Linked DNA regions of Canis lupus familiaris. The protein of the gene in region 2 interacts with the protein of the main gene of each other region in a pairwise test. Links are inferred from orthologs where the notes say so. Each region holds a gene or a part of one and is shown on either strand. Other genes may lie near its edges. The genes, in order: ferritin heavy chain, FXR2, ARL6IP1, NT5C2, SYTL4, C28H10orf62 and ZMAT2.

The links.
Region 1: the proteins of FXR2 (region 2) and ferritin heavy chain interact in binary tests that used the Homo sapiens proteins (3 or more experiments, as listed by UniProt). The link is inferred for Canis lupus familiaris from reciprocal best matches to the Homo sapiens genes FXR2 and FTH1.
Region 3: the proteins of FXR2 (region 2) and ARL6IP1 interact in binary tests that used the Homo sapiens proteins (3 or more experiments, as listed by UniProt). The two-hybrid records come from large-scale screens. The link is inferred for Canis lupus familiaris from reciprocal best matches to the Homo sapiens genes FXR2 and ARL6IP1.
Region 4: the proteins of FXR2 (region 2) and NT5C2 interact in binary tests that used the Homo sapiens proteins (3 or more experiments, as listed by UniProt). The two-hybrid records come from large-scale screens. The link is inferred for Canis lupus familiaris from reciprocal best matches to the Homo sapiens genes FXR2 and NT5C2.
Region 5: the proteins of FXR2 (region 2) and SYTL4 interact in binary tests that used the Homo sapiens proteins (3 or more experiments, as listed by UniProt). The two-hybrid records come from large-scale screens. The link is inferred for Canis lupus familiaris from reciprocal best matches to the Homo sapiens genes FXR2 and SYTL4.
Region 6: the proteins of FXR2 (region 2) and C28H10orf62 interact in binary tests that used the Homo sapiens proteins (3 or more experiments, as listed by UniProt). The two-hybrid records come from large-scale screens. The link is inferred for Canis lupus familiaris from reciprocal best matches to the Homo sapiens genes FXR2 and C10orf62.
Region 7: the proteins of FXR2 (region 2) and ZMAT2 interact in binary tests that used the Homo sapiens proteins (3 or more experiments, as listed by UniProt). The two-hybrid records come from large-scale screens. The link is inferred for Canis lupus familiaris from reciprocal best matches to the Homo sapiens genes FXR2 and ZMAT2.

Annotation. Positions count from the first base shown.
Region 1 is NC_049239.1:55,067,014-55,071,220, forward strand, and holds ferritin heavy chain, read left to right. Parts: upstream 1-1,319; 5' UTR 1,320-1,498; coding exon 1,499-1,612; intron 1,613-2,997; coding exon 2,998-3,144; intron 3,145-3,456; coding exon 3,457-3,582; intron 3,583-3,681; coding exon 3,682-3,846; intron 3,847-3,847; 3' UTR 3,848-3,937; downstream 3,938-4,207. UniProt on the Homo sapiens protein: Stores iron in a soluble, non-toxic, readily available form. Important for iron homeostasis. Has ferroxidase activity. Iron is taken up in the ferrous form and deposited as ferric hydroxides after oxidation. Also plays a role in delivery of iron to cells.
Region 2 is NC_049226.1:32,723,200-32,726,789, reverse strand, and holds part of FXR2 (fragile X mental retardation syndrome-related protein 2), read left to right. Parts: intron 1-33; coding exon 34-105; intron 106-194; coding exon 195-343; intron 344-742; coding exon 743-836; intron 837-1,334; coding exon 1,335-1,451; intron 1,452-3,590. UniProt on the Homo sapiens protein: mRNA-binding protein that acts as a regulator of mRNAs translation and/or stability, and which is required for adult hippocampal neurogenesis. Specifically binds to AU-rich elements (AREs) in the 3'-UTR of target mRNAs.
Region 3 is NC_049227.1:26,551,351-26,555,522, forward strand, and holds the start of ARL6IP1 (ADP-ribosylation factor-like protein 6-interacting protein 1), read left to right. Parts: upstream 1-1,287; 5' UTR 1,288-1,410; coding exon 1,411-1,446; intron 1,447-3,673; coding exon 3,674-3,807; intron 3,808-4,172. UniProt on the Homo sapiens protein: Positively regulates SLC1A1/EAAC1-mediated glutamate transport by increasing its affinity for glutamate in a PKC activity-dependent manner.
Region 4 is NC_049249.1:15,808,091-15,812,118, reverse strand, and holds the start of NT5C2 (cytosolic purine 5'-nucleotidase), read left to right. Parts: upstream 1-1,201; 5' UTR 1,202-1,284; intron 1,285-1,799; exon of another isoform or gene 1,800-2,106; intron 2,107-4,028. UniProt on the Homo sapiens protein: Broad specificity cytosolic 5'-nucleotidase that catalyzes the dephosphorylation of 6-hydroxypurine nucleoside 5'-monophosphates.
Region 5 is NC_049260.1:74,947,836-74,951,425, reverse strand, and holds part of SYTL4 (synaptotagmin-like protein 4), read left to right. Parts: intron 1-3,419; coding exon 3,420-3,528; intron 3,529-3,590. UniProt on the Homo sapiens protein: Modulates exocytosis of dense-core granules and secretion of hormones in the pancreas and the pituitary. Interacts with vesicles containing negatively charged phospholipids in a Ca(2+)-independent manner.
Region 6 is NC_049249.1:11,037,652-11,041,040, reverse strand, and holds C28H10orf62 (uncharacterized protein C10orf62 homolog), read right to left. Parts: upstream 2,197-3,389; 5' UTR 1,571-2,196; coding exon 848-1,570; 3' UTR 501-847; downstream 1-500.
Region 7 is NC_049223.1:34,978,970-34,983,355, forward strand, and holds the start of ZMAT2 (zinc finger matrin-type protein 2), read left to right. Parts: upstream 1-1,541; 5' UTR 1,542-1,587; coding exon 1,588-1,605; intron 1,606-1,940; coding exon 1,941-2,034; intron 2,035-3,097; coding exon 3,098-3,221; intron 3,222-4,386. Other genes in the region: HARS2 (histidine--tRNA ligase, mitochondrial), read left to right, coding at 1-2. UniProt on the Homo sapiens protein: Involved in pre-mRNA splicing as a component of the spliceosome.

The DNA.
Region 1 (4,207 bases), on a different chromosome or scaffold from region 2:
CTGTCACTTTCCTAGGGAAGCCTTCCCTGGCCTTCTATCCCAGACTGGATAAGGCACTCCTCGTCTACACTCTCCCACAGGCTTCTGCTTATTTTATTTTATTTTATTTTTGTAGTTTTAGACCTAAAAAAAATTTTTTTTTCCTGAAGGTAAAATGTTCATTCCGAAACGAAAACAGTAGAGACCCAAGAAAGAGATCACCAGAATTCCGTCAGCAACGAATTTTAACATTTTAGAGCCTGCCTTCTTTTTGTTGAGGTTGCGAAGTTCAGCTTAAGGTTTCATGTTTGTGAGCGTCCAAAGGGCCTCGGCGAGGTCTCCCAGCCGTGCGGAAGGACCTGGTGGCGAACAGTGGAGCTGGAAGCCGGCCGACAGGGCGGGCGCCTGGAAGGAAGGGACTCGGCGGCCCTGCCCTGCCCTGCCCGGTCCCGTGGACACTGTGCCCACCGGCCGCTCCGCAGGGGCAGCCCCAGGAGGTGGCTCCCCGGGAGATCTCCTCAGCTTGAGCCGGCTGTGGCCTGACCCGGGTGCGCCAAGGCAGCCGTTCCAAGATGGCTCCGTCTCCAGATCCCCAGTGGCTTCTCCTCCCTTTTCTAACCCGTCCCCGGATCTTCTCAGAAGCCCCGGGGGCTCGTCCCTCACGGCTCCCCCTCGAAGGCGCCCGCTCACCGCATCTCCCCGGGAACCACGGCCCGCCCAGCCTCTGTCGGGGAAGCTGCACCGGGAGCCATGTTGGCGAGGGTCGGGGACGGCCCCCGGGACCCCAGCCCGTCCGCGTGTCGCTCCCGGCCGGACCCTGAGGAAGGGAGAGCGAGCCCCTCCCGCCCCACCTCTAACTGACGCAACCTCCTAGGGCTCCCACTGCCACTTTCCAGGTGACGCCCGAGGAGATCCCCCCGGGTGTGGTAACTGCTGCCCCGCCGCCCGGACTTTTAACCTGCCCCCGGGGCAGGATGTCTCGGGGAGCCCGCCCGGACGGCTCAGGGGACACGTGCCGGCGGCTCCCAGCCCCGGGCGCCGGGGCTCCGCGCCCGACCCCGACCGCACTTCTTCCCCGCCCCCCCCCATCGCGGGAGCCGGGACGCCGAGGACACCCGCCCCGCCCCGCCCCGCGCGCGGCCACACGCCCGCCGCCTCAGCCCGCGCGGGGCCGCCCCTCCCCCACCGCCCCCAGGGCGGGGTCGCGCGCCCGCCGGAAGAGGCGGGGCTCCGCGCGCGGGCGGGCGTCTTGATTGGCTGGAGTGGGCGTGACGCCCGATCCCGCTATAAGAGCGGGGCCTCGGCGGTCTGCGCCAGTCTCCGCCGAGAGTCGCCGCGGCTTCCTGCTTCAACAGTGCTTGGACGGAACCCGGCGCTCGTCTCCCCTCCCCGGGCCCGCCGCTCAGAGCCAGCCCTCGGCCACCTCCACGCAGCGCTCTCGGACCGCCCCGAGGCCTCCGCCGCCGCCGCCCCAGCGCCGCGCAGCCGCCGCCGCCGCCGCCTCTCCTCAGCCTCCGCCATGACGACCGCGTCCCCCTCGCAGGTGCGCCAGAACTACCACCAGGACTCCGAGGCCGCCATCAACCGCCAGATCAACCTGGAGCTCTACGCGTCTTACGTCTACTTGTCCATGGTGAGCGCCGCTCGGCTCCGGGCTCCGGGCGGCGGGGCGGGGCGGGGGTGTGGCTGACGCTTGGGCCCTCCCGCCCCTGCTCGCCCTGCTGGAAAATGGACGCTGCTCGAGGCCTCTCAGGACGTGCGCAGAAACTCTGGCCGGCTCGGCCTTTCTGACGGCCCCCTGGGAGGGCTCCCTCTTAGTCAAGGGCCGCCTCTGCGCGCCGCTTCGTATTTAGAGAGAGCCTGGTTTCAAGGAATCCCCGACTTGCGGCAGCTGCAACCGGCACAATCCTGCAGTTAGGAAAGCGGGGTGTGCGTTTCCATCCTGTTCTCCGTGTCGATCACGTGGCCCCGAGGCTGTCCTTTTGCTTGGGTGACGGGGGCGAAGTGGTCCAGCCCCCGTCCTCCCTGCGACTGGCGGAGCCTGCTGGGTAATGGTGTCGAATAGCAACCGTTGGGGGCGGGGGTTGGTGCTCAGTGGCTTATCTCCCGGGGGCCGACCACTCTGGAGCAGCCATCGCTACCCGCTCTGTTCTGCTTATCGCCCAGTCCCACTTGAAGCAGGGAAATCTCCCCTTTTGCGCACACGGTTGTCTTAGTCATCCGTCCTCTTGCCCGGGCATTTAGTACTTTATCCTTTTGTGGCTGAACCCTTGGTTTTAGAATAAACTACACCAACAGTCACTGGGCAAGGAAACTTTCCGTGCTGATCGATGGAATCCATTTTCCAAAATCCTGGTTTTAGGCGGTGTGGTGGGCGTTTTCCTTAGGATTGCAAAAGAAAAAAAAAAAGAAAAAGGATTGCCTTACGATTGTGCAAATTATCTAAGAATAGACCTGTTCCAGATGAATTTGAAAATAGGCCTGGATTTCCGCGACTGCCATTCCATTTCAGGAACACCTGGATTCAGCGAGTGTCTAAAAACGGAATCAAGTTTTCTGTTTTCTGCTGGCAGTTTCTTTGTACAGCTTAGCGTTGCCAGCAGTTGTCACCTTGCCTAATGGGTTAATCTTAGAGATCCGTCAGTATGCTGTAAGCTGGCAAGCTCATGTTTTAACATGGGTTTAATCAGGGAGTTAGGGAGTACAGGGTAAATACTCCCACACCCTCTCCAATCAAATGCGACACTGGCCAGAAGAAGTTTGCTCTCATATAGGGCTTTAAGAATTTATCTGCTGGGGGCAATTCCCTATGATATTCTAAAGGTTCCTTGCAGTAAACTTTAAATGTCCAGGACTGCGTTTCATTTTTGTGTTTTAGAGTACAGACTAGTGTTGTGTTCTGTCCAAGAGCACAGCCTGTCCGCGGTCTTCAGTGCAGACTCCTTTCTTGCTGGACTTTGAGGAAGAAAGGCTAGGCTTGGCAATTCCTAACAGAACATGTTCGTGTTCTCTTTTCAGTCTTATTACTTTGATCGCGATGATGTGGCTTTGAAGAACTTTGCCAAATATTTTCTCCACCAATCTCATGAGGAGAGGGAACATGCTGAGAAACTGATGAAGCTGCAGAACCAACGAGGTGGTCGAATCTTCCTTCAGGATATTAAGGTGAACAAAACATCTTAGATCCTGTGTCTCATCTATCCGGCAAGTCCTTGGGTGTCAGAAATCCCTCAAGCTAGCAGTTGCTCTTATAAAATGAAGTACTTTTGGCTTCTGTGTTTTTTTAAGCCTATCTTCTAAGTTGAAGGAGGTGAACGGTAATGGGCACAAGGCTGTTAAGTTGGAAACCATTGTGGGAGAAACTGGGATGTCCCTCTTGCCAAAGCACAACGATTGCATGTTAGGTGTTTGCTGACTTGGGCAATAATAGGTAGAGGCTGTACGTGCATTGACCTGACCTCCTCTCCTCTCGTTCAGAAACCAGACCGTGACGATTGGGAGAATGGGCTGAATGCAATGGAGTGTGCATTACACTTGGAAAAGAGCGTGAATCAGTCACTACTGGAACTGCACAAACTGGCCACTGATAAAAATGACCCCCACGTGAGTGTTGGCAGTCTGGGAGAGAATGGAGGGAGTCATTTCCCTCTTTAGGGGTTGGGAAAGTGTACCGTTAACATTCTTCCCCATTCTGTCTTCTAGTTGTGTGACTTCATTGAGACTCATTACCTGAACGAGCAGGTGAAATCCATCAAAGAATTGGGTGACCATGTAACCAACCTGCGCAAGATGGGGGCTCCCGAATCTGGCATGGCAGAGTATCTCTTTGACAAGCACACCCTGGGAAACAGTGATAATGAGAGCTAAGCCTTAGGCTGTCTTCCCATAGCCGCAGGGTGACTTCCCTGGTCACCGAGGCAGTGCATGCATGTTGGGGTTACCTTTACCTTTTCTATAAGTTGTACCGAAACATCTACTTCTTTCGTTTGTATCATTCCTTCAAATAAAGTAATTTGGTACCCAGCTGTTGTTTCTTGAGTTCTTGGGATGGGCTAGAAATGTATTTAGTAGGTCATCTTTGTGAAATCTGCTGAGGTGTTGTAGTTCAGTCACAGTAACCAAAATGACATGCCTAGGGAGGGATTTGTGTTTTATTAAAGTCCTTAGTTAGGAAATGATAATTGAGGCTGGGTGTGCTGAATTCAGACAGGACTTAAGGACTCCTGAT
Region 2 (3,590 bases):
TGGGCCTCAGTATCTCTTTATTTTCGGCTCCAGGTTTATTCTCGAGCCAATGAGCAGGAACCTTGCGGCTGGTGGCTGGCCCGGGTGCGGATGATGAAGGGAGATGTGAGTGATGGGAAGCACGGACCATAGTCACAGAAAAGGGGGGGGACAGACGCTCAGGTCATCCACACTTGTTTCTTCCTTTCTGCCAGTTCTACGTCATCGAATACGCTGCCTGTGATGCCACTTACAATGAGATTGTCACCCTGGAACGGCTCCGGCCAGTTAATCCCAATCCCCTTGCAACCAAAGGCAGCTTCTTCAAGGTTACCATGGCTGTGCCTGAGGATCTGAGAGAGGCGTGAGTCAGGGACATCGGGATGGGGGCTCCGTTGACAGTCCTCCTGTTGGCCCACCTTTCTCCCAGGCCCCTCTTATTTTTGTTTATTTGTTTTTAAAGATTTATTTATTTATTTATGGGGTGGGGAGAGAGAGAGGCAGAGACACAGGCAGAGGGAGGAGCAGGCTCCATGCCGGGAGCCCGATGTGGGACTTGATCCCGGGGCTCCAGGACTGTGCCCTGGGCCAAAGGCAGGTGCCAAACCACTGAGCCACCCAGGGATCCCTCCCAGGCCCTTCTTGTACTGTCAGTCTTCCTCGTCCTCCCCCATCCTTCCTCATCTCATTTTTGTCATCCCCATCTCTCTGAACCTCTGAACTGCACACTGTGCCCACTGAGCACTATTCTCTTCCTTGGCAGCTGCTCCAATGAAAATGTCCATAAAGAGTTCAAGAAAGCGTTGGGAGCGAACTGCATCTTTCTCAACATCACAAATAGTGAGCTCTTCATTCTGGTGAGTTATTTGACCTGACTTAAAACGTAAACCCTCTCAGTGATTTTTTTTTTTTCCTCCCCTTTTAACTCCTTTGCAGAAAGGAAGGGGCTCAGATGTGCTTCTGTTTATTTGTCAAAGAAGACTTTTTGTATGGCTCCTGACCCCTGCGGGCCCAGGCCATGTTTCCTGAGTCTTCCCTCACGTATGACCTTAAGTTTTTTTTTTTTTTTAAGCCTGGCCATCCTTTTGCAGTCTGGACCTTCCCTTGCATATTTGGGCTCTGAAAAAATAGACTATACGATTCTCACCCCTCCCTCTGCCTAAAATCACTTCTCTTAGGTACCCTGATAATAGTAGGCCCTTGTGAAACTGATAGTGATTTTTCTCTTCTCTCATTTCATTTCTTAACTCCTGTCCTTTTCCAGAGACTGAGGCATCCTGGTTCCCAGTCCTGGGTCTTCCCCGTTGTGTATTCAAAGTCAGTTTCAATGATTTTGTCCATTGGTTTCTTCCCAGTCAACTACAGAAGCCCCTGTGAAGCGGGCGTCTCTACTGGGTGACATGCATTTTCGAAGCCTGCGCACCAAACTCCTGCTCATGTCCCGCAATGAGGAGGCTACCAAGCACCTGGAAGTAAGTTTAGGCCTCACTTCATACTGCTGAATGGTATTGTTATCATCCTGCCTTCCCATCCCATCCTCCCCCCATGCTCTTGTGTTTACAGAACAAAAAGACTAAGGTCTTTCTGGGCCATTAAACCTGGGTCTGCTATTTTTTCCCAGACTCCTCCAGATGGCAGAGCTTCATCATGTTATAATAGTACAGTTGTTTTCATTTTTTTCTTAACCATGGGACCCTTTGATCAAGTGAAGTTTTACTTGAAAACACAATGCCTAAAACAGATCAGAGAAGCTCTGCCTAAGTAGAAGAAGGGAGTGTGACCCGGACCTCCACTGGCCTCCCCCAGATCACCTCTGGGAATCAAACGGCTTTGCAGGGTCTATTTGAGAACCATTTGTATTCTGGAAGGACCACTGTCAAATATTGACCTTTGGCAAATCATTTGATTTCACTGAGCTTTATCTGTGTGACAATGAGGTGTTTAGACTAAAATATTTCAACAAGGTCTTTTTGAGTTCTGATATCTTAGGATGGTCAGATTCCCTTTGCTTAGGTGCCATACCATCCTATACAAATAGTGTGTGTGTGCACATCCATTCCGTTTATCAATAGAACTGATCTTTTTGGTAGGCTTTTCTCCGAGCCTGTGCACATTGTGAATCATAGTGGTCTGTCACTTCTCCAGGGATGCTACTCAGGGCACTGGCAGAACTTCACCATTACCCCCAGATGATACAAATTATGTCTGCTCAAGTTCCCAACGAGCAGATTCCCTGGTGACAAAAGGTAGACTTCAACTCTTCTTAGGACCTGGTTGTATTGATCAGTGTGGTAAAGAGTGCCAGATATGGGGCGCCTGGGTGGCTCAGTTGGTTGAGTGTCCAACTCTTGATTTTGGCTCAGGTCACGATCTCAGGGTTGTGAGATCGAGCCCTGAGTTGGGACTCCGTGCTCAGCACAGAGCCTGCTCAAGATTCTTTCTTTTCCTTTCCGCCCTCACTTTTTCTTTCTCTCAAATAAATAGTCTTTGAAAAAGATAGTTAAGTTGGCCGTACATGTAGTCTTGTTTTTGAGAGATCTTGTTTTTCTTCTTTTTTTCTGTTTTGTTTATTAAATTATCTTGAAATAATTGTCTGCATAAAGGAAAAACATAGTATATTAGGTACACTTGTACCCGTCAGGCAGTTTAAGAATAAAACTCTTGGCAAACTTCTAGAGAACATTTGTAAATCATCGTAGAGCCTCTCCTTTCCTCCCTAATGCAGTTATTTTGAATACCCAGCGTGGTCCCTTTTTGTCCATCCCCTTCTTGCCTGAGGTAAGTCCTTGCCATAATACAGTCCCACCCATCTTGGAAGTAGGATGTAGTGGACTGGGATCAGGAATGACCCCTTTCAAATAGCTTTCCTGTTTGGTGCTTCTACCTAGGACTTCCTCTTCCAGAACCTTCCATGTCTTTCTGCCCTTGTGCCCAGGTATCTGAGGACTGATGGAGAGAGGAAGTGGTAGTGTGGTTTCCATAGCTCTTTATATGCTTTCTCAGCCTCTTGCTTTCTACTCAGTTTTTTGGGTTTTATTTTGGGAGTTGATATTAGTTTGGTCAGAGTAATTGTTCCTTACTCTTACATTTACCTTGTGAAAGAGCCTTTCACACCAGCCTTAATTAATCCTTCTGATAGTCTGGGAGTGGGATGAGTCAGGTGGAACAGTTCAGCAGATGACAGAACAGAGACACTGAGTGTATTGTGTTTTTTTTTTTTTTTTTTTTTTTTAAAGATTTTACTTATTTATTCATGAGAGACGCAGAGAGAGAACCAGAGACACAGGCTGGGGGAGAAGCAGGCTCCCTGCAGGGAGCCCCATGTGGGACTTAATGCTAGGACCCCAGAATCACGCCCTGAGTTGAAGGCTCAACCGCTAAGCCACCCAGGTGCCCCGAGGGTGTGTTGTGTTTAGCGTCACATAACCAGATAGTGTCAGAGCCAAATCCTGAACTGTGGTGGCTCCCAGCCCAAACCCTGCCCTCGTTTACCTCCCTCACCCCCACCCCAAGCCATTGGTGTTCGCCAGGTAGGAGTGGAATGGCTGGTTCCTGAATTCTCCATACAGGTCCCAGGGGTCTGTGGATCCAAGGTGGTTCTGGCTTGCTTT
Region 3 (4,172 bases), on a different chromosome or scaffold from region 2:
TAGTTTCTCCCCAAAGTGGCACTTTATTGAAGAGTCCCCTTCCTTCGCAAAGGCCTTCTTCCCCGTCTCCCCGCCCCTACCCTCCGACATCGTGGTAAAAAGTCACACCCTTCCCTGAAATTCACCGAGCTCTGGAGCCGTGTCCTCTCAAACTCTTAGGAACCTGGGTAGTCTCTTAAAGTCACGTTTGTGGCATACTACAGGTCATCATAAAGAGGACTTAAAAGGCCGGAACGTAAAAAGCCACGGTGAGGTCTTCCGGAAACCTCTCTGATCGGGTCAACAGGTCAATGTCCCATTTATAACCACTGGCATGGTTTCGTTCCTATTACGGAAAACCAAAAAAACGCTTAATGCATTTTGAAATCCTGCAGAGAAAAGACGTGGGAGTCATTCGTCTGGTGCTAAACTGCTTACGAATCCACCCCACCCCCACCCCCACCCCCGAGGAGGGCGGTTTACCTCCTTGCTTAGCAAGACCTCTCATCTCAGGAAGGAAGGAGGTTCGGTCAACACCTGACCCTTCACGCGGAGGGGCGTCGTCGTCTCCTAAGCAACCCAAACGCCCCGCCCCGCCCCACCCCACCAAGGAGTTCCCTTGGAGACGCCCACGAAGAAGCCGACTTTGGAGAAATCGGTGCTTTTCCCCTCCCCACCCCCACCCCCCACCCCCCGTGTTGGAGAACTAAGCCCAGATTGCGCTCCTCCTCCCCCGCCCCTTCCTCCATCCAGCTAAGGCCTTACTCCTGATTGCTTGCACGCGGCGGACTGCCCTTTCCTCCCGGGGTGGGCACGAGCGTCCGAGCCGCGGGGCCGGGGGAGGGGGAGGGGAGGGGGACGGGGGCCCGGCCGGGGCGGCCCGAGCGGCGAATGCCACCGAGTGGCCGCGCGGGGGCGCAGCGAGGGCCACCGATCGCAGCGAGGTCGGCGTCACCGCGCCGTCCTCCTGATAACGCGGGGCGTGTTTTGTTTCCCCCAGGACTAAATCCCGAGAGCTAGCGCGGCGGGGCGGCCACCGCGGGTCACGCAGCCCGGGACCGGGGCGCGGGGGGGCCCCGCCGCGGCAGTTCAACCGCTCCCGAAAGGCCTGGGCGGGGCGTCCCACAGCTCCTGGGCGCTGATTGGCCGCTCCTTGTCCCCGCCCCCTCGGCCTGCGCGGCCTCGGTCTCCTTTGACCCCGATTTCAAGCCATGCGCCGGGCCGCGGTTGGTCGGGCCGCCCCGGAGCTTGAGTTCAATCCACCCAATGAGGAGCGGGCTTCGCGGGGCCTGTCGGGAAGGCTGGCTGGTGTATATAAGCGGCCTGCGGGGCGTCCCCTTCGCGCCTGGGTCGCCGTGCGGGTCTCGGCGCGGAGCTCGCTGTGTGCGGGAGGGGCCGGCTTGCGCTCGCTCGGGCGGCACTTCAGGGACGATGGCGGAGGGAGATAATCGCAGCACCAACCTCCTGGTGAGTCGCGAGGGGAGCAGGCAGGGGCCTCCGGGCTTGGGCGGGGGCTCAGCCTGGCAGCGCTCTTGCGGCCTCGTTCCTCCCACCGTGGTGGGCCCGGCCCTCCTCCCCCTCGGCCCCGGGTGGGTGCAGCGGGGCGGTCCCGGACCGGGCGGCCCTTAACACCCCGTGGGGCAGCTACGGGGCGAGGTGAGGACGGCGCGTGACCAGCCCCCGCGGATCGGGGAGGAAGTGGGAGAAGGGGGGGCTGCGATGAGCCTGGGGCGCAGGCCTCCAGGGGCCTGTCTGTCGAGCGCTTTGAACCCCAGGCCCCCAGGCTCTTCTACGGGGTTCCCCTCCTCTTCCCTTCGTTCTTTAGCCCCAATACTTGGGCAGGGGTGGGGGGAGGGGGGAGGACGGGAGAGGGGCGGGGAGGGTCAAAGGGCCACTGGCGAGAATTTGCTGGAGCTGGCGCAGCTTAAACCCGCAGGGAGGCTGTGAACTCACCGCGGGGAACTGGGATTAGAGGTCCAGCTGGAAGGACAGTGGGGAAGGACCTTGGGTTTGCCTGGAGTTTGCAAGGGAGGGGTGTGTGTGTGTGTGTGAGAGAGAGAGAGACAGGTGGACTTTAGAATAAGCAGGGGTCTGAAGGAACTGCAGTGGTGTCTCACGGGCGGATAAATCTAACCTACTTGTTTTCACGGCGCGATCTAGGCAAAAAACGAGAGAAATCCTTGCCTTTTTCTTTTCTTTTTTTTTTGTCCGTTGCCACAACGAAACAGCATTTCATCCTTGACGTTGGATATTCCAAGAGCCCGGGTGCTAACGAGTTTGGTGACCTTGCAGGGCAGCCGTGATGGTGCCAGATTTTCGTTTTGCATTGGTGTTTAGAAATGCACGGCCTGTTCCTGTAACGCACATGCCAGCACACTTGTCTGTGGCTAGCCGAGTTAGCTCCGGCCAAGTTCCAGTTAAGGGGAATTGATCGAAGCACAAAGAAATTGTCCAGCAAATTCACACAGTTTGTTGAGGTGACCGAGCCTGGCCCGAAGCTCAGCTGCTCTTTCCAGCAGAAAGCAGTGTAACTTTAAGCAGAACAAGGCCCTTGGCTTTGGATTTCCTGGGTTCAGATCTCTTAACCTCCATGTATCTGTTACTTCATCTGTAAAATGAGGCGAGTAACAATACCATCCTTTGAATTCATTGGGAGGATTAATTAAAGTATAAGCATATAAAATACTTAGAGCTTCTGGCACATAGTAATCTTCTGTTTAACTATATTAAGCGTGGTGTATATAAAGTCAGGAATGTTGAAGTCCCCCAAGTAATCAGTGTGGCACAGATAGATAGCATCTCTAGTAAGATTAGGCTGTCCTGTCCTCTCTCTTTTGTATATTTCCCCATGATAACATTTATAAGGGCATGTGGGTTTCTTTCTAGTTTTTTTCCTGTACCAAAATCAGTATAGGGTTTTTGTTTTTGTTTTTTTGTGTTTTTTTTTGCCACATTAGCTCATTCCAGAAGTCTACTTTCAGCTAGGTTGTCAGTCTTGCAGAGAAATTTGAAGTCTAACCAAATGTTCTGGTAAGTGTAAGAAGCACTCATTGTATGGAGATACACTGAGCTTGAGATGCCTCATGTAATTTGGTGAAAGTAAGTTTTACTTAATTGTGCAAATGATGCCAGCATCTAAAGGATTCCATTACACAGCGCTATTTTAAAAATTGAATGCTGTTCAGAGAGAGGCTTTCTTAATGGATTTAGAAGTAGGAGTATAAATCAATGAGATGACAAAACAACAGATCAATCAATTCTAACCACCTGAAAAATGAGCACATTTGAAGTGATCTAATTTTATATTTTGGGTGCTGCCACTTAGTGCATGACTTTGAGAAAGCTGGTTACCCATCTAAGGTCACTTAGATGGACCTTATCCATAAGGTCTTATAAGGATAAGGTCTCTTATCCCTACTTTGAGGGCCTCTACTAGGATTGTTAACATTATGTATGAAGAGTAGCCCAGTGCTTGGACTTGGTGACTTGGTGACTGTTAAATGGTAGGTTGCCACCTCCCCCCCCCTTAATTGATTTCTGTCTTGCTACCAAAATTGCAGAATTATTTAGAAACTAAGATAGTGATTTGATTGAGGGCTCTTTTACATTCTTGGTGTCTTAAAAAAAATTAACTGAGAAGCACAGAAATGTTGGGAGTGGTAAAATGATCACTTTACATGTTGGTCTTGTGTAGGCTGCAGAGACTGCAAGTCTGGAAGAGCAGCTGCAGGGATGGGGAGAAGTGATGCTGATGGCTGATAAAGTCCTCAGATGGGAAAGAGCCTGGTTTCCACCTGCCATCATGGGTGTGGTTTCTTTGCTGTTTCTGTAAGTGAGCTATTAAATTATTGTGGATTGTGCTTGTTATTAATAAGGGCTCAGGTAACACACAGCCTCTTTTGTAACCTATAATCTGTAAAGAATGCCTTTTCTTGGAGCAGTTCTCCTAGTTTTCAGTAACCTAAACCAGTTGAATAAATGAGTGGCTCTCACACTTTTTGGCCTAAAGAACCTTTATATTCCTAAAAAGTATTGAGGACCCCAAGGGGCTTTTGTCTCTTGATGTTTACATTAACCATTGCAGCTATGATGTCATCATATTCTGAAGCTTCCCAGAAAACCACTTGTGAGAAATTTAGAATGAAAAGGGCAGATAACTTCTGTGAGACCCAAAAGACTAAGTAGATAAATAT
Region 4 (4,028 bases), on a different chromosome or scaffold from region 2:
ATTAAATCTTAAAAAAAAAAAAAAGTCTTGGAGTTTTAGTTGAAGGCAAGTTCTATGAGTCAATAGTGTGGGTGCCATGAACTTTATTGCCTGAATGGAAGTCCTGCAAAGAGGAAGTTAGGGTACGGCTTTGCTCTTGATGGTACTACAAACATTTGGTTCTATTTTGGGTGATATACTCTAAAGGAGCCACATTCTAACCTACTAGGCACATGAAGACAATGAAGACAAAGACTTTCCCTTCTCCAGTAATGGGAGACACCGGTCTAGAATAACAGAGAACCTGGGGCAGAAATCTTCAAATATCTATAAAGTAGAAGGTCAAAGAGAAATTAGACCTGTTTGTTCTCTGAGGCTCCCAAGGGGTAGGACGTGGGCCAGAGAGTGGATGTTTCAGAAACACTTTCTAACTGGTCTAAGAGCTGCCAAAAGGGAGGAATGCCTTGCTCTGGAAATAGTGGGCTTTTGTCACTGGGGAGTCTAACGACTTGGTTATGGTAGGGGGTCGATATAACTAATATTTATGGAGTGCTGTGTGCAAGGCTGTGCCGGGGACTTTCCCTCTATTATTTCATCCTGTGACACCCTATGAGGTAGGTACTATTGTTATCTGTTCCTGTATTATGGATGAGGGAACTTGGTACAGTGAGGTCATGTAACTTGCCCAAGGTCACACAATTTTTAAGTGGTGGGCCTGGAATTCCAACCCATTCTGACGAACTCCAAAGCTGAGATTCAAGCCTGTGTTATGGGGTATGGGGGTCTGGACTAGAGGGGCTCTGGGGTCCGTTTGACTAGAAGATTCAGTGTTCGGGGGAAAAAGGGTGCCCCATCCCCCTAAGGAAAAGCAGTCAGAGTGTAGGACTGGGCAAGGTAAGGTGGTCCAGGGCCTTGCTGAGGGGCTGGGAGCAAGGCCAAGGGATGGAGACGGAAAAGACGTGTAAGGGCCGTCAGCGTGCGTTATCCCGCGGCTCGGCCACAACTCCTGTGCTGTCGTGGACCTCTCAAACCCACGCTAGGGCCTGAGGCACAAGCCCGCGTGGGGGCTCCGCTCCGGCAGCGCGGCTAGGGAGCGTCGCGGCGGCCGGGTTCTGCGGCGGAGCTGGGGAAGGAACAGCGCACCGGTCCCTGGCCGGGCGCGAGCTGGGGGCGGTGCCGGGGCGGCGGGGGCGGGGGCGGGGGCGGGGGCGGGGGCGGGGCGGGGGCGGGGGCGGGGGCGGGGAAGGCGCGCGCCGAGGCGGCTGCGGCAGTTGCGCGCTGGGATTGCTGCCGTGCGGCGGGTCGGTGAGTGCGGCGGGACCCGCGGGAGGGCGGGAGGGAGCGGCCGAGCGAGCGAGCGCGCGACTCGGGCCGGGGGGCCGCCGCCTGCCCCGGGCCCTGCCCCGGCCCCGGCCCGCCCGGGCCGCTGCGCTCCTCGGGCCCTTCTCCATCGCGGCCTCCGCGCGGCCCCGCGCGGCCCCCCCGGCCCCCCGGCCCCCGCCTCGGAGCAGCCCGTGCCTCCGCGCCGCGGCGACGCCCCCAGCCCCACGTCACGCCCGCGCCATTGTTTCCCCGCCGCCCGCTCGCCGGGACCGCCTTCCCCGCGGAGCGCGGCCCTCCGTCGGTCTCTTTCGAGCCACGAGCGCCGTGTCCTGTTCCCTCGCTTTTCTCACGCGGGAGGCAGCCCCCCCCCCCGCGCCCCCGCGGGCGCTTCTTTCCCCGGTTGTGCCCAGTTTTCCCGGCCGCCGCGGGCTTCCTTCCGCCTCTCGAGGGCCCCCGCCGCCTGCGCCTTCCGGGTGCGCCTCGAGGAGCTCGCGAGCCGCGGGGCTCGGAGGCGCCGTCCCAGCCGCAGGAAACGCCAGCTTGGTACCCGCATCCAGTTCGCTCCGTTGCAGCACTTCCTGGAAAGCGCCCGTCGAGTCGCAAGCCGCCGCAGCCGGGCTCGTTATTTCCTCGCGGCTCCCGAGTCGGGCCAGCTGTCCCGGCCAGCCCGGTGCTTTCCTTCCCGGGGACCCTTGAAGCTGCGGAGCGCTGAGGGCGCGATGCAGCTCGAGGCCCGAGCCCTGACGTGCAAGCATAGCGTTGGAGGGCTTGACGCTAGTAGGCCCCAGCCTTTAAAGGCAGCAGGTAGAGCTCGCCGTCATCGGTTTTCCGGTGCTGTCCATGCTGTCCGTGGTGGGGCCGTCAGGTTTGAGGGATGCGTTGTGGAGCGCAGGGCTCCGCAGTGACTAGTCTCCTTTATAGGCTCGTGTGCGCGCGCACGCGTCTGCGTGTCCGGGTGCGGACGGCTTCTTAATTGAGCTGTACTTGTTTTGTAATGTCTGCACATTGTTAAATTTGCCTCTGAAGACAGCGGATGCAAATTATGCTAACTGTAACCTGAAAGGAAGAATGTTGAAACAGAACCGTTTACCATGGAAACTTAATGTGATTGAGGTCTTTTTTGTTTGTTTGTTTGTTTGTTTGTTTGTTTTTTATATTTACCAGGACATTTTTCCTTCTTAATTTTACCTAAGTAGGCTTCATGCCCAAGGTTGGACTCCCAGCTCACATCCCTGAGATCAAGAGGTGCATGCTCTACCACTGAGCCAGCTAGGAGCCCCTACTGGGACACTTTTCAACAATGGTTGGAATTTATCCAGATGAAGATATCCAGGCCTGTAGAAGTTCAGTTCAGTAAAACACAGCTAGTTAGTAATTAAAATCAGAACTCCACATGGTGGGCTGATGCTAGCACACACAGACTTTATTTCTGAAATACATTTCGTTTGCATCATTAGCCAATACAATTTCAGCTCTTAAAGGTTTCTGCATTTATTCTCACTAACCTAGAATTTGGATTTTAGAATTTAATAATCAGTCTGTAAAATGAGAAGGCTGAAGGAGATGTACTGCAAGATTTCTTTCAGTTCTAAGATTTGATTCTATTGCATGAAAATGTACAATTAGCCACAAGTTTCCAAAAGTTTATAATTGTAGGAAGATTTATATATAGAGATAGTTACTTAGGGTATCTGCAGGTCTTTCTGTGCATCAGAAGTATCTTCCTAAAGAAAGCCAAATTACAGTGGAATGTTAAGAGGAGGGATGTTCATTCGTCTGTCTCTAGGCTGTTTTTGCTGTTTCATGGGAGAAAGAAAGCACTTAAAACATGTTTTTTAAAAAAATTTATTTATTCGTGAGAGACCCACAGAGAGAGAGAGAGAGAAAGAGAGAGGCAGAGACCAGGCAGAGGGTGAAGCAGGCTCCATGCAGGGAGCCCAACGTAGGACTCCATCCCAGGTCTCCAGGATCACACCCTAGGCCGAAGGCGGCGCTAAACCACTGAGCCACCGGGGCTGCCCTGTTTTATTTTTTTATTATTTTTAAAGATTTTTAAAATTTATTTATTCATGAGAGACACAGAGAAAGAGGCAGAGAGACAGGCAGAGGGAGAACCAGGCTCCATACAGGAAGCCCGATGTGGGACTCGATCCCAGGTCTCCAGGACCATGCCCTGGGCTGAAGATGACACTATACTGCTGAGCCACCTGGGCTGCCCTGTTTTTTTCAAATTTAATTTAATTTTATTATTTTTTAATTAAGATTTTATTTATTTATTCATGAGATACACAGAGAAAGAGGCAGAGACACAGGCAGAGGGAGAAGCAGGCTCCATGCAGGGAGCCCGACATGGGACTTGATCCCAGGTCTCCAGGATCACACCCTGGGCTGAAGGCCGCGCTAAACCACTGAGCTACCCAGGCAGCCCTGTTTTTTTGTTTTTTTGTCTTGTTTTGTTTTTTTGTTTTTGTTTTTTTAATTTTTATTTATTTATGATAGAGAGAGAGAGGCAGAGACACAGGCAGAGGGAGAAGCAGGCTCCATGCGCCGGGAGCCCGACGTGGGATTCGATCCCGGGTCTCCAGGATCACGCCCTGGGCCAAAGGCAGGCGCTAAACCGCTGCGCCACCCAGGGATCCCTTTTCTTTTTTTTTTTTAATACAGCTTTTTATCGCTTAGTTTTTAAAACAGAGATAAATATGATAAAAGCTTACCAATGAAATAGC
Region 5 (3,590 bases), on a different chromosome or scaffold from region 2:
CACAGTGTTCTAATTGTTGTGCTTTTTGTCACACAAGCCAGGGAAAATTTTACTTTGGAGATGGCATCTCAGGTGAGATTGTAGCAGTGTGCATAATAGTGCCTGGGATCTGAGTGCAGATCTGGATTTGAATCCTTGTTCTGTTAATTGCCAGCTAGGTAAGTCACCCCTTTTATAAAATAACTTAGGTGAATCACTTAACCTCTGTGAGTCTTAGTTTATTCATCTACAAAGTGGAGGTAACAATAATATTCCTGTTTCACAGGATTGTCCACAAAGTGCCAATGGACATTCAGTAGGTTACTGTCATTCCAGTTAAGATGAAATTGCTAAAACAGAGTTAGGATTGAATCATGATATGAACTGTTCAATGGCAAGGTTCCTTGGTAAATTTTTTTTTACATTGGCATTTTTGATGCTAAAAATAGTACGTGGTGCATAGACTCTTTGGAAAGATAGACAAGAAACCAGTAGCAGTGGCTGCCTCTGGGAAGAGAGACCGAGGTGAGAGAACAAATTAGTTTTTTTTCTATATGCCCTTTTAGAACGTTTGAACTTTTTACCATGTCTATGTGTATTGCTTATTTTAAAAAAATTAAGAGTAAGAGGATTTGTTTGCATGTGTTTCAAAATTACAATGATGTAGAAATAAGTACATTAGGAGAAAAGTACATTCAATTCCCTAGAAATAACCACTGTTATCGGCTACTTGGATATCTTTGCAGAGATTTTATATTAAGCAGCATGGATAATCCCAGCATACATGCAGGGATTTATATTTTTTCCATTTTATACAAATAGGCTTATATGAACCTCATAGTGTACATGTATCTTGATTTTTCTCATTTAACAATTTATTGTTTATCATGGGCATCTTTCTCTGCCATCACTTACATATCTATCTCATTTTTATTGCTGTATAGTATTCTCTCATTTGCCTATATATAAATTGTTTGCTTTTTTTGCTGTTAAAACTATGCTGTAACTTATCTTGGCCTTCTTATGTGGAGGTAATGTAGGAGAAATTTCTAGTGGTAGAATTGCTGAGTCAGTCATGCAATATTTTGATAGCTACAGCCTTTCATAAAAAATATTAAGAATGTTAAATCTGCCCCTTTAAATACTAATAAAAACAGGAAGGCAATTATCACCAAACTATAGCATATTATTAGAAATGTAGAATTTCTTTTTTAAAAAAGATTTTATTTATTTTTTTTGAGAGAGAGAGTGTGTGTTTGAGCATGAGCTAGGGGAGGGGCAGAGGAAGAGGGAGAAGCAGACTCCCTGCTGAGCAGGGACCCCCCTGCCCCCCGATGCAGGCCTCCATCCTAGGACCCTGGGATCATGACCTGAGCTGAAGGTAGATGTTTAACCAACTGAGCCAGAAATGTAGAATTTCTTAAGCATTTGACACAGGAATCATTGAGGGGCCTACAGTTGATATAATTATATTGGAAATGTCACCATAAACCATTACGTCCTACTGCCAATAAAAGTGTCTTACATCAGAAGAAAAAAAACTGCATTACAATGGAGACATTTGCTCTTCAAAATTATTTTGAGCTAGAATGGAAATATGCCACTGAAAAAATACACCAATTTCTAGCTAAGGCTAAACTCCAATTTTAAGAGTCTACTGAAGTTCACAATCTGGAAATTAATAAGTTTGTAGACATTCATAAACAACCAAAAGTCCACTCCGGCATCACATATCTATTTTAACTTAAAAATTCTACATTTATTGCCTCTGATCTATCCTTTTTCCCCCTTAGCCATCCATTTGCTCCCATCCAGTTTTCTCTTCTTGGCATCCACCTCCCTATTTTTTTTGTATCATTCCCACACAGTAAACTGTATGTACACATTCTGGGTATGTGTACATTTTTCCAAACCAAAGGGGATTATACCTTCCTGGCATTAGTATACTCTATGCTAAGACCTAGGTGAGAGGAGCCCCAGTGACCACAGGCAGGTGATAGGATATGTCTGATCTGCACCAGCTCATGTTCTGGACACAAAAGTGTAAAGAACAGAACCATGCCGAGAGAGCCAATAGAGTGAAGCAATTCTGGTCCCAACAGCCAAAGATAATAGGCCAGTTGCTGCTCATTCCGCACATTCATGCATTCACTCTTACATTCATTCCTTAAATATTTGTGGAGTACCTACTATGTGTCAGGTACTTTGCTAAGTATCAGGCATACTAGGCTGAGCAAGACTAGGGTGATTCCTATCCTCCTGGCATGTAGGTTCTAGTGGTAGAGACAGCCAATTAATCAAAAGTAGCACAAATAAATATAAAGTTAGAAATTGTGGCATGTTCAAATCCTTGTAACAGAGTTCCACTTAGGCCTCAAATCTTTGCAAGCTCTCTTTAAAAAAATACTCTTCACCTTCAAAAATCCTACAAGCAATACATACCATTCTCTTTAAAAAGACTGTACACATATACACAGGAAAAAGTAAAAGCCCCTTTTCCTTTCCCCAATCTAGTCCTCTCTGTAGAATAAACAAGTGTTATATGTATCCTTCTGGGTTTTTCTATGCCATGTAGTATAGTGGTTAAAAGCATGGACTCTGGAACCAATCTGTCTGAATTTGAGTCCTGCCTCTGCCAATTGCTGTGTGACCCTGGGCAAGTTACTTAATCTCCCTGTTCCATAATCTGTAAAATAGAGATAATAGTACCTATAGGGATTATCTTGAGGATGACACAAAATGACATACATAAAGTACTTATAACAGTGCCTGGCATGTAGTAGATACAATATAAGTGATAATGATAATAACCAGTATTTATATACATACATATTCACATGTACAAATTAACATATTTCAATATAAATGGGATGCTTTTTCTTCATTTTGCTTTGTTGACTTAACTGTACATCTTGGATAGCTTTTGGAGTCAGCATGTATGGATTCCCTGCATGCATTCTTTTTGATGATTGCATGCCATAATACAATCACCATATGCGGGCATTAAAATCACTCATTTAACCTTTTCTATATTGATCACTACCATTTAGGCTGTTTATACTTTTGGGCTTTTACTAACGATGTTGGTAGTAAGATTCTTTTTTTTGGTAGTAAGATTCTTCGTCATGGTATCAGTGAGTCTGTGGCAACTTTGCTGGAAGACCTTTGTGGGTATTTAGAATCTAGTAACTGTATCCCCAAAAGTAGCAAAATAGTGGGCATAGCAGAAGACTTAGCTGGTTCTTCTGTAGCTCCTTCTGAAGGAACTGCCTTGGAAACCGGTGGCTGCCATGGCCAAAGGTCCCAGGATTGTATTCATAAGGAGGATTCTCTTACATCATGAAGCTGTTCTTGGGGTTAATTTTCAGATCTCCTCTATGAGAGGTCCCAACAACTCCTGAGAAGCCCAGCATGACCTGTCGGGTTTCCCTGTGTTTCAGATCAGTGCTGAGTCCCCGACTGGCTTGACATCACACAAAGGCGAGTTGGTGGTTTCACTGAAATACATCCCAGCCTCCAAACTCCCTGTTGGGGGTGACCAGAAAAAGAGTGAGTTTTGGGGGGAGGGGCCTGTTGTAGCCCTTAGCGTTCAAGCGTGTCTGTGAGATAGG
Region 6 (3,389 bases), on a different chromosome or scaffold from region 2:
AGCAAGCAGCCCCAGTCCCAGCCATAGTGATAGAAACAAGAAGAGAGAGTATACACAGCACAACAGCTCTGAAGGTAGGTGGGGGGAGGCACTAACGGGGATCCCAGTGGGCCCCAGAAAGCAGGTGGTGCAAGGAGAATACACTGCAGTGCAGGAGGCCACACAACTTGAGAAGCAGTGGACAGGGTGAAGATGACACTAAGAGGACAGGAGACCCACCTCCCACCTTGCCTACTAGCTTCTAGAAGCCTGGCCTTCCCCCCATCTCCTGACATCTGGCTGCTTCCTCCTTCCCTGGCAACAGCGGGTTGGTGGGTGCTGAACTCCCTGGAGACGTCCCATTCTCAGAACCTGAAGACTCAGGGAAGCTGATTTATGGAGTCTTGAATCAGTAAAAGGCCCAGGCCAAGGGCCACATGAAGAGGACTATGGGAGCAGGAACCCTCTTTCCGTATGGCTGCCCAGTCCTGAGGCTGGCCACAGAGCCCCCAGACTCAGAATGAGGGAATACAAGGCTTTATTGGCTCAGTTCCAGGCATTAGGCGTCAGTCTGGGGCTCTCAGCTACTCCTGGGATCTGCCTCGCCTATCTTCTCTGTGGGCCTTCAGGGGCCCGTGAGTCTGTCTTGGCCGCTTCGCTTCCTTCCACTCGCCCTCCATCAGGAGCCGTCCTCTGTGGCATACCCTACTCACAGACTGGGAGGGGCCCAGGACCCCTGAGGGGGTATGAAGGAGGGATTTGGGCAGCAGCATCTCACTCTGGGCCACACAGGCTGCCCCACAGGAGAGAGAACAGGCCTGCAATTGTGTGCCAGCCTTGCTGGGGGAAGGGGTGTCTCCACCCATGGTTAGGTGGCTTCAAAGGGTTGACAGATCTGGTGGCTGCGGTTGGGCAGACTGTGGCTCAGGTGGCTCTGGTGGCTCGGATGGCTTGGATGGCTCGGGTGGCTTGGGTAACCCTGGTAGCCAGGGTGACCATGGCCATGGAAGGCATGTGTTTGGTTCATGCCGGCTACAGTGGTACCCCGCTGAGTGAGAAAATTCCCTTTCAGCTTCAACTCCACCTCCTCCAGGGCCTTCAGCTCCTCCTGGTTGATGTCTTTGGACTCCAGGTGGCCTGAGTTCTGGTAAGTCGTGGCTCGCTGCAACATGGAATTAGCCAGTTGCTGTCCCAGGGTGTTGATCTCCTTGGTACAGGTAGCCACAGCGGCCCATGTGGCCGTATCCGTGGATGGGGATTTTCCAGACTCCCTGTGGGTCTCTTTGGTCACCGAAGACCCGGACATCCTCTGCTTACTGGTGAAGGACTCCCGGCGCACAGCCGTGCCCACTTGGCCTTGCCTTGTGGTGACAGTCTCCATGCGAATGGTTGTGCTGGCTTCCCCGCTGCCACTCTCGGGGGAAGAGGCGGTGCTGCTGCTGCAGGCGGCCAGCTTCTCTTCGGAAAGGCGGCTAAAGTGAGATTTAATCCAGTTCTCATTCTTTGCTTTGTGACATTCTGGTGGCTCCTGCTCATCTCGTACAGACTCAAGGGATGCCTTCCTTCTCTTCTTCCTCTGAATCCACAGCATGAGGCCTCCACCTCCGAGTAAGAGGGCAGTCCCCAGCACCACCTTGCATGATGGTTGCTGGATGAGCTCCAAGAAGGCCTCCAGGACCCTAAGCCAGGCAGGCAGAGCTAAGAGCACGCTGGGAGGGGGGAGCCCGGATGGTATGGTTCATGCTTGAAAGGGCAGGTTCCCTGAGGCTGTCTGGCAGGCAGGCCCCCAGCTGTACCCTTCCTAGGATGCCCCTCCCGCCTCAGCAATGAACCCCATTGTGAGCAAGGTTAGGGGGTGGGGTGGGGAAAGGCCTAGGCACCCTTCACGTCTAACCTGGCAGGTATTTCCTGAGGCCCAAGTCCTGTCTCCCACCCTGACAGCTGTCCCTAAGGTCAGTGGAAAAGCAGCTTTCCTTCTGTCTTCTGCTTGTGACCCATTCTTCGACTCAAACCTTATTTTCCAATCTTTGGTCTCTTTCCCTCTCTATCCAGTGGCTCACTGACCATGACTGAAGGACCCCCTTGGTTAGGCTGGCATCCATTCCTGGCTGCCTGATGTTGGTGTCTCCTTTGGTTCAGGGCCCACCCCTTCTGCCAGCTTAGCACATTTCATCCCCATCTGCAGCCCCAACCCCTTTACAGAGCAGGGTTCAAAAGGAAAGGGGCCCAGGAAGGAGCTCATTCTAGAATAATATGAGGTCACAACTGGGTAGAGACAAGCAGCGGACTGAGAAGCCAGAGCAGATAGGATAGGGGACTTCACCAGATCCCAGATTCCAGATCCCAGGGGCTGTCCCAGGATAGGGACTGCTACCTCTTACCTTAGTGATGCACCTGCATACCCAGAATTTGCTCCCCTTCCCCTGGGCCCTGGTTAAATGGACACAGTTTAGACTGTGAGCAGGTGAGCCACCTGGCCAGGGTCTCTGTAGGTACAGATAATAGAAAGCCTGGCCCACAATCCCAAATTTCTATCCTCTCAGGGTAGAAACAGGCCTGGGCCCCTTTATTTTTCTCCCAGAGGCATCAAACACATTTTTTTTTAATGCATTTCACTTTTTAAAAGTGAATGCTAAAGTAAATGCCAAAACAGCATTGTAAAAATTGTGATTTTTTTTTAAAACAAAATATTTTATTTAAGAAAGTAATGGCTTTAATATGCACAGTAGTATCTTAGTCTACGTACTAAGGGAATAAGATACAAGCTCAATGTTTTATGGGGAACATCATCTCCCTTGTCCTACTGAAGTAGCTCTGTGGTCATCTACTAACCTCATTTGGAAATAACAATTCAAAGTTCATCTTTGAGGTTGTTTGTGGGAGTGAGTTCAGGGCCAAATGGTCCCTCCACAACAATTTTACCCTCCAGTCACTAGTTTTCATTTTAAAATGATACTCTTTATATAAATAATCAGTAAAAATTAACAGTGCAAAAATAAGAAATAAAAGAGAGCTACACAGTTTCAGGCAATAGCTTCCAGAAGAATATCTAACTTTTCACCTACTCATCAAGGGCAGGTTCCCACCTCCTCTTTGGAAGACTTTTAACTTATTGCAGGAGGCCCTGGCAATGTGGTATGCAATGGCTTCCTCCTCTGCTCCTGAGTGTTGGGTTGCAAAGCCAACGCCGGGGGCCAGAATTGAGCCAGAGAAACATCATCTGTAGAGCAAAAGTTGCTCACAGTTCCTTTCCTGGACATTCTGGCTGTGTCCCGGGAGCAGTGATGGGACCCTTGGCTCTATTCTTTGTGCCAGGGCCTCACACTTGAGCTCCTTGGGAGGAATGCATTAACCCTGTGGCTCAGTTCCATTCTAAAATGAGGAAATCAGATTAGAGAGGTTCAGTGATT
Region 7 (4,386 bases), on a different chromosome or scaffold from region 2:
GATCCTTGCCTGCTTGCCATCTGCTGCTCTTTCTAGAAGACGTTTCTTCTAGGACTGAGTTCCTGATGGACTTTGCAGTTGCTGGCCAGGATGGGTGACAAGTTCCTCTGCCTCCTCCATCCTTTCTGGGTACAAAGCTGTAGGAGGTCCTGAGGACTCCTGGGCTAGTGTGAGCAGCTATTCTGCATGGGTGCAGATGGCTGGTATGTGAAAGAGACATGCTCTAACTGCAGAGACAGATGGCAGATTTGAAGTGCCATGGAATGCTGCCAACAGGTGCTGAGATGGTTGCTTTGAGCAAGGCTCTAGGAAGGTTGCCCCAGGCTGGGACCATTGAGATAAGAAGTCAGATACGTGGCCTTCCATTGTGGCTTCTGAACCAGATTCTGGGAAATTTGTCCACAACCTGCCCTTGGCTTGTCCAGGGAGTATTGGGAGATAGCAAGGAAGGGGCAAATGGCTGCCTTCTCCTTTTGAGGACAGAGATGCTATCCTAAGGGCATAGGAGTGCTCATGGTTGTGGCATCTCTAGCTCAACTGCTGTTAGTAGAGTGAGGCTGTCTGTTTAGTAATTTTGAATGTTGAATTTAATAGGTGACTTGACAAGATGGTCTAATCTTTTGAGATTTTGGAGACCATTTCCTGTGCCAGAATTACTGCTCGACTATGTTCCATGTTGTCCTATGGAGGTGGCTGTTCTAGAAATGATTGGATAATAAATAAAATACTAAATGTAGTAGTTTGAGTGATTTGTTATCAAGAGATTGGTTTGCATAGGCCATAGAAAACCCTCAAGTGTACACTGCACAATTCTGAGAACTAGGAGCAACCTCCCTGGGGTGATGCTTCTGGATTCAGTGAAGGAAACAGTCAGTTTTCCAGTGCCCCCACTCCACCCCCCATCAACTTGGAAATACAGTCACGTCTAAATGAACATAGTGAGATGCATGCCAGAGTTCACCCTACAGCGTTGCTGATGACTGGCCTTTCCAAGTCCCATCATGTTGATTAAATTGTGCCCTATTGATTGAATGATTATAAAGTTCCTCAGTTGAAAGAAAAATGATTTAACCGAATGATGATAGCATTGCTTCAAAATAAAGAGTGTGCAAAAATTGCTTTCTATATATGCGCTGGAAAGGCTGCAACTTAGAGACACTGGGTGTCGCGGGCCATATCTTTAGTGCATACAGGTAAATAGGGCAGCTAGAGGCTCCTAATAATTCCTTCAGCCTTAAAAATTAGAAACTTGGCAAACGGATGCACAGTTGCTTAAGACTAGATCAAAGGGCCCTGATCCAAATTGCTTCCTTGTTTATAAAATAGACCAGTTGAATTAAATCAGATGATTGTTTAGAAAACCAAGGCAAAAGACATTAGTACGCGCCCTTACTTCCGTATTGCTTCATGCTCTCCATGCGCATGCACCATTTCCGTGGGTCAGAGGAGGGGCCGACGACCCTGTTTTAGAAGTCCTTAGCTCGTTTAGAACGCGAAACTCTAAGCTTATTGGAGGGCAAGCTTGCTTTACGGCTCAGGGCCGCTTTTTACGTCATTTTCCGGCTTCCCATTCACTTCGCAGTGAAGATGGCGTCGGGCAGCGGGGTAGGTGTTGTGTGTGAGGAGGCTTTGGTCGGGGGGCAGAGGGTGCCTTCGTAGCGCGGAATATCCTGCACCCAACTGGCTTCTCGACACCTCCTTGCGGCCCAATGGTCCGAGTTCAAGAGCCTCCTCGTAGGGTCCTGGCACAGGGTCTGTGGAATCGCGGAGAACTCTTGGGTTGGGGTCCTGAGGCCACCTCAGCCTTCTGGTGCGGTGTGGAGAGTCTTCGCTCTCGACAGGTCCGGGGGGTCGCCTTGCCGGCGTGGACGCGGTTCCCTCCGTTTCTCTAGGGTTCCGATATGATTAGCGACGAATCTTGAGCGCTTTTTTCCCTACAGACAAAAAACTTGGACTTTCGCCGAAAGTGGGACAAAGATGAATATGAGAAGCTCGCCGAGAAGAGGCTCACGGAAGAGAGAGAAAAGAAGGATGGTGGGTGCCTACTCCCTAAAGGGCAGAGGTATCGTAGAGGTGAAGCCATAGCTGGAGAGCGGGTGGGGAGTTGAAATGCGATGTCCTGGTTGGTACCTTGTGTAACCTCTGGCTGAATGTTGCCTCCCTGGTTCTCCATTTCTTACTGTATAAAATGGGAGGAAAGAGATGGACTGAATATACTCAGAGGTATTTCCCAGCTCTGTTTCCTGTGCTTTCTTGCCTTCTTTTTGCTTAGCTCGTTTTGTACTTTCTTCAAGTGCAGAGAAGAGAGGAGAAGCCTTAGTAGTGACAGAGATGTGGAGTATTTTGCTGCTATGCACTACTCCTATTGAGGAAACTCTTTCCGTTGAAGTCACTTAAGGGGAAGAATATAACTGGTCCAATCAAGTCCTTCCCCTGTGGTCTGAGAAGAGTGAGGGTACTGGGAGGAATGTGTGATTGTTTCAGCTGGTGGTTAGTAGTACTGTTTCTCTGCTTTGTACAATGTTACGGAGTTGATTCTCCTCTCCTAGTTAGAGAATCCATTATACAAAAAGAATCCTTATTTTTTCTTATGCTTTCACTTTACTTTCACACCACCTTGCACAAACTGATCTTTTTAGTTTTGATCTAATTTGTACAGTAGCAAGTAACAGATATTGCCTGAATGTTGGTCCCATTTAGAAAATCTTCCCCAGCCTTCTAGAGATTCTTTTTTGTGTGTTACACTTGGGGTATCTGTCTGAAAGTATTACTGAGTGTCCTTGCTTTTCTTTTAAAAGTTTACTCTTTGTGAAAATTAATTCCTTTCTTCAATTCAGTTAACAATAAAAAACTTTGTTTTTAGACTTATTGGCTTTGAAGTGGAAAAAAGCTATGTAGAGTTTAGGGATTGCATATCATTTTTTCCTGTGTTGAGATTCTCCCTAGTTGCTGCTACAAGTGCTTTTTGTGCCCCCTGCTTCAGGCTTAAGAAAGAAATGAAGAGTAGACATCTGTGTATTGGGTTTCATGCATTTCTTTTCGTTTCTGCTTAAGGAACTCTAATAATAAAAGGACTTTCTTCTGTCTTATATTTTAGGAAAACCAGTACAGCCAGTCAAACGGGAGCTTCTCCGGCATAGGGACTATAAAGTGGACCTGGAATCCAAGCTTGGGAAGACAATTGTCATTACCAAGACCACGCCACAATCTGAGATGGGAGGGTGAGTGACTTTTCATCTTTTTCAGGAGCCAAGACTAGGTCTAATAAACTGTGTTGATTTTAGCAAGTGTCGAGGAGAGGTTCTCTGGCTCCAGGATAGCAATCATGTTACTTATAATTCTATCTTTATTTTTATTTATTTTTTTAATAGTCCTACCTTTAGATATTTCTTTGTGTCACTCCTGTTCCAGGCCTCAACTAAACATGGTAGTGTCTCTAGGAGGAGTTACTCTGTAGACCTCTTCATATTGGCACTGTAACTCTTTCTTAATATCTGAAGAGGAAGAAATGAAGGAAAGGACTCCTGAAAACATTTCTAGGGGAGAGATTTCTCGAGCTAGAATGGAGCCTAGAAGCTGTTGATGGTGAATAAAGGGAGTTGAGGTTCCAGACTGGCTGCAAAGGTTGTAGTTGTTACGGATTGCTTGGTTGTACACTTTCCTCCTAGACCAAGACTATGACCCATGAGAAGAGGTGTCCTGTAAGGACTTTTGTTTTTGCCCACCACTACTACAGTATTCATTTACGTTTTCTAGCAGGAGAGCAAAACAGATAGCAATGAGTGACATGTCTGAATTGCTTAGAAAACTTACATCAGGGATCCCTGGGTGGCTCAGTGGTTTGGCGCCTGCCTTTGGCCCAGGGCATGATCTTGGGGTCCTAGGATCAGGTCCCATGTCGGGTTCCCTGCATGGAGCCTCCTTCTCCCTCTGCCTGTGTCTGCCCCTCTCTCCCCCCCTCCCTGTTTCTCATAAATAAATAAATAAAATCTTAAAAAAAAAAAACACCTCACATCATTCTTTTCTGTATTAGTTACCTATTCCTGTGTAAATTAACTAACTCACCAAAATTTAGCAGCATAAAACAGATAGCTAACAATTTGGGTAAGTAATCTGGAAAGGCTTAGGGTTTCACAAAGCTGCAATGAAGGTGTCTGCTGGGTCTGCATTCATATGAGGCTTAAGTGGGGCTGAATGATTTGATTGAAAGCTCTTTCATGTAGTGCTTTGGAGGCCTCACTTCTTTGCCCCATGGGCCTCTAGTGCTGTTGACAATAAAGCAAGTGGCTTCCCAAGAGTAAGACATGGACAGGCTATTTATTTATTTATTTTAATTTTAATTTTTGTATTTTTTTTTAATTGGAGTTCGATTTGCCAACATATAGT